Lonchura striata: one gene and its partner. The main gene of each other region encodes a partner of the protein of the gene in region 2 in a complex. Links are inferred from orthologs where the notes say so. Each region holds a gene or a part of one and is shown on either strand. Other genes may lie near its edges.

Region 1 (3,742 bases), on a different chromosome or scaffold from region 2:
CTCAGGGTCCCCGGCTCTGTCTGTCCCCGCTGCCCGCGGGCTCTCCGCTCCCTTTGTCCCCCTAACCCGGGACATCCAAGTCCCCTGGTGCCATCTCTCCCTGTGTCCCCATGCGGTGGCAGTGTCCCCCCATGGTGGCAATGTCCCTGTAGGGTGGCAGTGTCCCCATGGGGTGGCAGTGTCCCCCCATGGTGGCAATGTCCCTGTAGGATGGCACTGTCCCCGTGGAGTGGTAGTGTCCCCGTGTCCCCCGTGCTGGCAGTGTCCCCATGGAGTGGCAGTGTCCCCTGTGCTGGCAGTGTCCCCATGTCCCCATGTCCCCCCATGCTGGCAGTGTCCCTGTGGAGTGGCAGTGTCCCCATGTCCCCGTGTCCCCCATGCTGGCAGTGTCCCCATGGAGTGGCAGTGTCCCCGTGTCCCCCCATGCTGGCAGTGTCCCCGTGTCCCCACCTGGCTGGCGCCTTTGTTGGTGCCCATCTGGAGGCTGATGGTGGCCTGGTCCAGGGGCTGGTCCGTGCCCAGTTTGGGGTCGTACAGGTGCCGCCGTGTCCCGTACGCCGTCATGCCCTGCTGGCTGGCGAACTTGTTGGTGCCCATCTGGGGACAGCGACGGCCACGGTGTCACCAGCTGTCCCCAGCACGCCCCCCCCGTGTCCCCCCAGCGTCCCCGGGTGTCACCTGCAGCCCGATGATGTTCCTGCCCTCGCGCAGCTTCTCGGGGTGGAAGCGCCGCTGCTGCTTCTCGGCGTATTTCACCCCCAGCCCCACCTTGTTCCCCTTTGTCTTGGCCTGGCGGAGACCGTGGGCTTGGGGGGGGGCCTCACGGGGACCCCCGGACCCCAAATCCACTCCCCGGACCCCAAATCCCCTCCTTGGACTCCAAATTCCTTCCCCAGACCCCAAATTCCTTCCCTACACCCCAAATCCCCTCCCTGGACCCCAGATTCTTCCCCCAGACTCCAAATCCCCTCCTTGGACCCCAAATCCCCTCTCTGGACCCCAAACACCTTCCCCAGACCCCAAATCCCCTCCTTGGACCCCAAATCCCCTTTCTGGACCCCAAATCCCCTCCCCAGGCTGCAAATACCCTCCCTGGACCCCAGATTCTTCCCTCAGACTCCAAATCCCCTCCTTGGACCCCAAATCCCCTCTCTAGACCCCAAATCCCCTTCTCAGACCCCAAATACCCTCCCTGGACCCAAATCCCCTCCTTGGACCCCAAACCCCCTCCCCAGACCCCAAATCTCCTCTCCAGACCCCAAATCCCCGCTCTGGATCCCCCCCAGCGTGTGGCCGGTGTCCTCTGAGGGGACACGAGGACCCCCAGGAGCCCCCCGGACCCCCGGCCCCCCCCAGGACCCCCGGGAGCTGACCTGGCTGGCGAGGGCGATGAGCGTGGACTGGACCTGGGTGTGGTTGGTGTTCTCGAAGAGGTCGTTGGCCTCAAAGATGTCGTGGGGCTTCACCCCGTAGCGCGTGATGGCCCTCAGGAAGTTCCCGATGTTCTCCAGCTGCGGGCGGGGGGAGTCGGGGCGGGGTTCGGGGTCAGATCCTCCCCCCCAGAGCCGCCCCCAGCCCCGGTTTTGGGGGGTCCCCTCACCTTGTGCCAGTTCTGGACGGGTTCGTTCACCTTGGGCACCGAGCCCGGCTGCAGTTTGTTGATGAGCCTGGAGGGGCCGAGCACGGGTGGGGTCAGGGGGTGACCCCAGAGTGACCCCGGGGTGACCCCTGGGTGACCCCTGGGTGACCCCTGGGTGACCCCAGAGCCCGGCCAGGAGCGGGGTGTGGGGGACAGGCACGGCGGGGTTGGGGGGCTGTGCTCAGCAGGCTCGGGGTCAGCCCGGGTGAGGAATGGGTTAAAATTCACCCTCCGGACCGGGGCCGGTCCCAGCCCGCGGGGACAGAGCCGGGGACACAGCCGGGGTCCCAGCGGGGTCCCGGGGGTCGCACGGGGTCCCGGGGGTTCCAGCGGGGTCCCGGGGGTTGAACGGGGTCCCGGTGGGGGTCCCGGGGGTCGCACGGGGTCCCGGGGGTCGCACGGGGTCGTACTCGCAGAGGATGACGCCGTCCTTGAGCCCGTCCATGAAGTTGTCCCCGATCCGGCGCCCCGTGGTCCCCTCGATCCAGGCACGGAGCTCCCGCTCGTGCTGCGGGTCGTACTTCTGGGCCAGCTGCGGGGACAGGGACACGGGACATGGGGACATCGCCGGGGGGACACGGGACATGGGGACACGGGACACGGGACATGGGGACACCGCCGGGGGGACACGGGACATGGGGACACGGGGACACGGGACATGGGGACAGGGGACACGGGGACAGGGGACACGGGACACGGGGACACCGTCGGGGGGACAGGGGGACTCCGCCAGGGGGACGTGGTGGCACGGAGAATGTCGGGGACACCCTCACGGGGACGAGGGGACACGGGGGACATTGCGCCGAGGCCACGGAGGGTGCGGGGACACCGCGGGGGACACGGGGACACCGGCACGGGGACACAGACGGGGAACGTGGGGACACCCCAAGGAGGGACAATGGGGACACCCCAAGGAGGGGACACCCTAAGGAGGTGACAGTGGGGACACCCCAAGGATGTGACGTTGGAGACACCCCAAGGAGGGGACACTGGGGACACCCCAAGGCGGGGACACCCTCAGGGAAGAGGCGGCGGCCGCACTGGGGACGCGGGATCCCCGCTGGCCCCGGTTCCCCCGTTCCCGCGGGGCCGGAGGGAGCCGGGAGGGCCGGGGGAGCCCGGACCCCCCCCCGCCCCGCCCGGCCCCCCCGGGAGCCGCGGGCGACCGGGCCGGCCGAACCTTTGCCCATATATAGCCCCGGCCCGGGGCCGCCGCCGCCCGCCCGCCGCGCTCCGCCGCCTTATAAGGGCTCACGGCGGGGCCGGGGGCCGCCGGGCCCCCCCCGGGCCGCCGATCCCCCCCCGTTAACCCTTAACGGGCCGGTGCGCGGCGGGACCCCCCCCCCGCCGTGTCCATCCCCCCGCCGTGTCCGGTATCTCCCGCCCGCCGCGGGGCCCCCCCGGGCCACCCGAACCGCCCCCGTTAACCCTTAACGGGGCGGACACCGGCGGGACGCCACCCGGTGCTCGTGGGGGGCGTCCCGGGGTCCGCCCGCTCCGTTCCGGTGTCGCCCCGTGGCCTCCTCAGTCCCGGTGGGGGTTCCGGTGTCGCCGCCGCTTCAGCTCGGTGACCGTCACCTCCCGCCCGCCGCGGGCTCGGCGGTCGGCGGGGCTCCCCCGGTCCGCCGAGCCCACTCCGGGTTAACCCTTAACGGGCCGCACACCGGCGGGAGCCCCCGGTGCTCCCCGGTGCCGCCGTCCCCGTCCCCCGTCCCGGGGCGCACCCGGTGCCCGTCACCTCCCGCCCGCCGAGGGGACCGGGGGCTGCGGAGACCAACCCCCCCCCCCGCTCCCGGTTAACCCTGAACGGCCCGGTGCCCGGCAGGACCCCCCGGTGCTCACGGCGGGACCCCCCGGTGCTCACGGCGGGGAGCCCCGGTGTCGCCCCCTCCCCTCCCCTCCCTCACCCCCGCCGGGCACCCGGTGCCGGTCACCTCCCGCTTCCCGGAGGGAACGGGGAGTGCGGAGCTCCCCGGGCAGCCCAGCCGCACCCCCGGTGAAGCGGCGCTCGGTACGACCCCCGGGGGGGACACGCCGGTGCCGCCCCCCTGTCCCGGTGTCCGTCCCTTCCCTCCCGGGGCAGCACCAGGGACAGCGCCGGGT
Region 2 (3,742 bases):
GAAACTACAGGAACTGTAATTCAAGTGAGGAAAGCTGCAACATTCAGCTGTGGATTCCAAACTCAGAGGAGTTTCATTTTCATGCTTGTGGTTTTGGTTCTCAAAACTTGGATCAGAACTTCCTAGCAGCGTTCTATGGAGAATAAAATGTCAGTTGATATTCAAGTTAACCCTGTGGAGAGAAAATGGGTTGGAAATGTGCGTGGAAGTCTGTGGTACTTGGGGATTTGTTGCTTGTGGCAATGTGATTGCATCCTCATGTGCCAGAACTCCAACATGAAGAGTGCTGCAGGAAGCTGAGTGTTCCTAGCTCACTGATGATATTCCCTGGAAGTGTCCAGGGCCACACTGGGCAGGGTTTGGAGTAACCTGGTCTAGTGGAAGGGAGTGGAACAACATGATCTTTCAGGTCCTTTTCAAGCCAAACCAGTCTGTGCTCAAAGGAGGGGGAGTAGCTCTGAGAAATGGAAATTCCAGATGTTTCTGGGTTAAGATATTAGGTAATGCCTCTGCTTCTGGACTAATGTGATGCTGAGCTCTAAGGGAAGAGGCTTGGTTGGTTGAAGCCAGTGTCACAATGGACACAGGCAGTTCATCCTCTGCTCGTCTGGTGCTTGATCTTCTGTGGTCAGAGGATGATAATCTCTGAGCATGCAAATGGAAGACATTTCTGATCATAGGAGGCCAAAAATGGCTGCTGCTCAAAGGCTATACTTTGTTTTTTATTTTATGCGATTGTTTAGTAGCAGTTTTGCGTGAAACTTGTATAAACATTTCTTTTGTCCCTTGGCCCACCTGTCCACCTCTTCAAAAATTCAGAAATCTGCCAAGAAGTTGTGAAGAAGGAAGCTTTGTTTGCAGTCCAGCTCTGTCCCATCTGCCTCCCACTCCAAGGAGAAACACATGGCCACAGATGCAGGCTCAACCTCAGCTGGCTGATGGCGCTTGATCCGAAGGGTTAATTGGGAACTTCTGATTAAAATAATTAAATAACTCTGCAGTCCTTGGCCGCTCCTCTCTTAAGCGTTCAGCAGATTCGGATGCTAATGCTCGTGGGTGGTTCAGTATTTTGAACCTTTGCCTTCTGGAAAATTACAGTTGGGAGGCCAACAGGTACAAGGCAGCCTGGGAACTGGAGCCTTCATCTGTAACGCAGCCTGGCCCATCGGGGCTTTGGAGCTCAAAGTAGGTCCCTTGGCCACCAGTGGCTCTCCACACGTGCTCATCATGTGCTGGCAGTGGCTCCTCCTCTTGGGCTGGTTGTCCCGGGCGCTGAGGTTTTATCCAGAGCCGGGAGCCAGCGGAGGTGTCCGGGAGGGACGCGCGGCGCACGGGAGGGTCCTGCCTCGCCTCGGGGACAGCGCAGCCCTCGGAGCCTGCAGGGGCTGCCCAGCGGGACACCGGCCTTGGCTTCCCTGCCAGAGGGGACCCAGCCCTGCCGGGGGACGCCCTGCCCAGCCCAGCCCTGGAGACCGACAGAGAGCCCGCCATGGAGGAGAGGGAGCCCCCGCCGAGGTGCGCTGCTGCCCGGGGATGGGGATGGGGACAGGGAATGAGCAGCTGCAGGGGATGGAAGCTGCTCCATCGAGGCACAAGTGAGGAAACCGCTGGGTTCAGTGAGTGTTGAGTTTGCTGTGGGGTGCAGGAACCAGCCCCTGCTGCGCTGAGCCCTCAGCAGATAGCTGGCCACACCAAGTGACATTGGGACTGTTCCGTGCCCTCTTCTTCCCTGGCCATCCTTGTTCCTTGGCCAAGCTCCAGCTGGTGTAATAAACCAAGCTTGCTCTCTTTCCCCATGACTTTGGTTGTCCTGGTCCTTGTGGCGTGTTCCAGCTCTCTCCTGATTGAAATATGCTGGAAAACATTGTGTGCTCATCGGGGCCTCGTCCAGAGGCTGACATCCAGGCTGCCTCCTCCCAGCAGGGCTGGAGCCAGCAAGGATGGACTTCAGGAAGTATCAGCTTCAGCAAGTGCTCCTTGCTTTTAACAGGATTAGGAAGATGCTGTCAGGTCATACTTAGTTTGGAACAAAAAAATGTTCTTTTTCCCCTGACAGTGTGTCTCTAATAGAGTTTCTTTTTCCAGCTGTCTGCAGATGCCTGTCAGTAGGACCTGTCAGTCATGTTTCTTACCTCAGTCAGTGGCTGCTGTGTAAGGGATTGCTGTCAGAGTGAAACTTCCATGCTTTTGACTTGAATTTTCTGTATCTAGCTTGTTCGGTTGCACTGGGCAAATAATTAAAAAAAAAAAAAAAGCAAATGCCCTTTCTAAGGAGAAAAGAACATTGTGCACATTTGCTTTCCTGTACTGAGGTTTTATTGAGGTTAAAGTTACCAAAATGAGTTGCTTTATCTGTTTTCTTAACTGCTGTTGCACCTATGAAATAGTCACTTCAGAATAACTCTGTCACTGATGTGATAAAAATCTATTTATCTGTGGAGTGGCAAATAGTATGAATAGAACGTCATTAACTCGGCCCTCATCTTGCTGTGTGAATTTACACTTCTCTCCCTACTTATTTTTAGAGGAAGGGGAAGCGTGTGCTTGATTAGATGTGCAGTGAGTGATCTCCCCCCTGGGAGTGGAGGGGAGTGTGAGCTGCTGGATGGGGATTTGGGAGACCTGGATTCAGATCTGGGCCCCGACTCTGACCTGCTGCGTGTCCTTGAGAAAGTCACAGTGCTCTGCTGCTCCCTCCTTCCCCTTTTCCCCAGCCTCCATCTTGCCTGTTCAGCCTGGAAATTGGAAGAAAAAAAATCTGCATTTTAAGCGTCAGGAGGAAAAATACTTGGTCTGCGAAAGTGCATTTCTCCTCCTTAATCTAACGGTTCATCAGCCACCCATGTGTGGCAGACAGCAGCCTCCTGGACATGAAAGGTTGCAGCTGAAGGGAAAACAAGATCCTGTGGTAGATAAATGCACTGCACTGATAGTTTATTTTTTAAAGGGTAATCTCTGAAATGGAGCCCCATGTGCATAGCTGAACCCTCCCAGCGCTGTCCCTTAGCAGCAGGTGAGAGGATCCTGGTGTTCAGCACATGGCCTGCCCCACACATCCCAAAATCTCTTCATTTTCCTTTCCCTGGCGAGTGCAAAGAGCTCCTTTCAGATTTGCTAAGCAGAGGCTTTGCAGATGACAGAGCTCTGTCCTCAGCCCCAGCACGGTGATTATTCACCGGGTGAGCTTTTAAATAAAGCACTTCCTCCCCTCTTCAGCTGTTCTAATGGGATTCTTAGGAATCTTTCCTGGCGTCCTCGGGGAGGAAACCTTCTTTTTTTTACTGAATGAGAAACATCAGGTTTGGGTTCAGATTTTCAAGGTGGCTGCACCTGTGAAAATACAGAATGCTCTGTGGGTGTTATCCAAAAAAAACCACATAAAGTCTTGATTAGTCTGTAGGGCCAAATTTTCAGCCAAGTAATCTGGTAAAATTTGGATTTACCAGATTATCTAAGCACTGGATTTTCAGGATAATACAGTGTTTGGTTGCATTTTAAAAATGTTAATTTGCTTGGCCCGATTTATCAGTATTAATGACCCAATTCAATTTAATTCAAACACAGACTTACCTGGTCTTGGGGGTTCTCAGATCTGTTAATTTCTGTTAATTTCTGTTAATTTCTGTTAATCTGTTAATTTCTGTTAATTTCTGTTAATTTCTGTTAATTTCTGTTAATTTCTGTTAATTTCTGTTAATTTCTGTATGATTCTGCTTATGCCATTAAGCAGTTCTTTGTGTTT

What was found. Proteins that work in one complex are often made in the same cells at the same time.
Region 1: ITPR1 (region 2) and CNN1 share a complex: the UniProt entries of both Homo sapiens proteins name them as parts of the cGMP kinase signaling complex. The link is inferred for Lonchura striata from reciprocal best matches to the Homo sapiens genes ITPR1 and CNN1.

Annotation. Positions count from the first base shown.
Region 1 is NC_134623.1:1,330,631-1,334,372, forward strand, and holds the start of CNN1 (calponin-1), read right to left. Parts: upstream 2,131-3,742; 5' UTR 2,085-2,130; coding exon 2,050-2,084; intron 1,668-2,049; coding exon 1,601-1,667; intron 1,512-1,600; coding exon 1,374-1,511; intron 790-1,373; coding exon 679-789; intron 598-678; coding exon 451-597; intron 1-450. UniProt on the Homo sapiens protein: Thin filament-associated protein that is implicated in the regulation and modulation of smooth muscle contraction. It is capable of binding to actin, calmodulin and tropomyosin. The interaction of calponin with actin inhibits the actomyosin Mg-ATPase activity.
Region 2 is NC_134614.1:22,879,615-22,883,356, forward strand, and holds the start of ITPR1 (inositol 1,4,5-trisphosphate-gated calcium channel ITPR1), read left to right. Parts: upstream 1-1,268; 5' UTR 1,269-1,489; coding exon 1,490-1,515; intron 1,516-3,742. UniProt on the Homo sapiens protein: Inositol 1,4,5-trisphosphate-gated calcium channel that, upon inositol 1,4,5-trisphosphate binding, mediates calcium release from the endoplasmic reticulum (ER).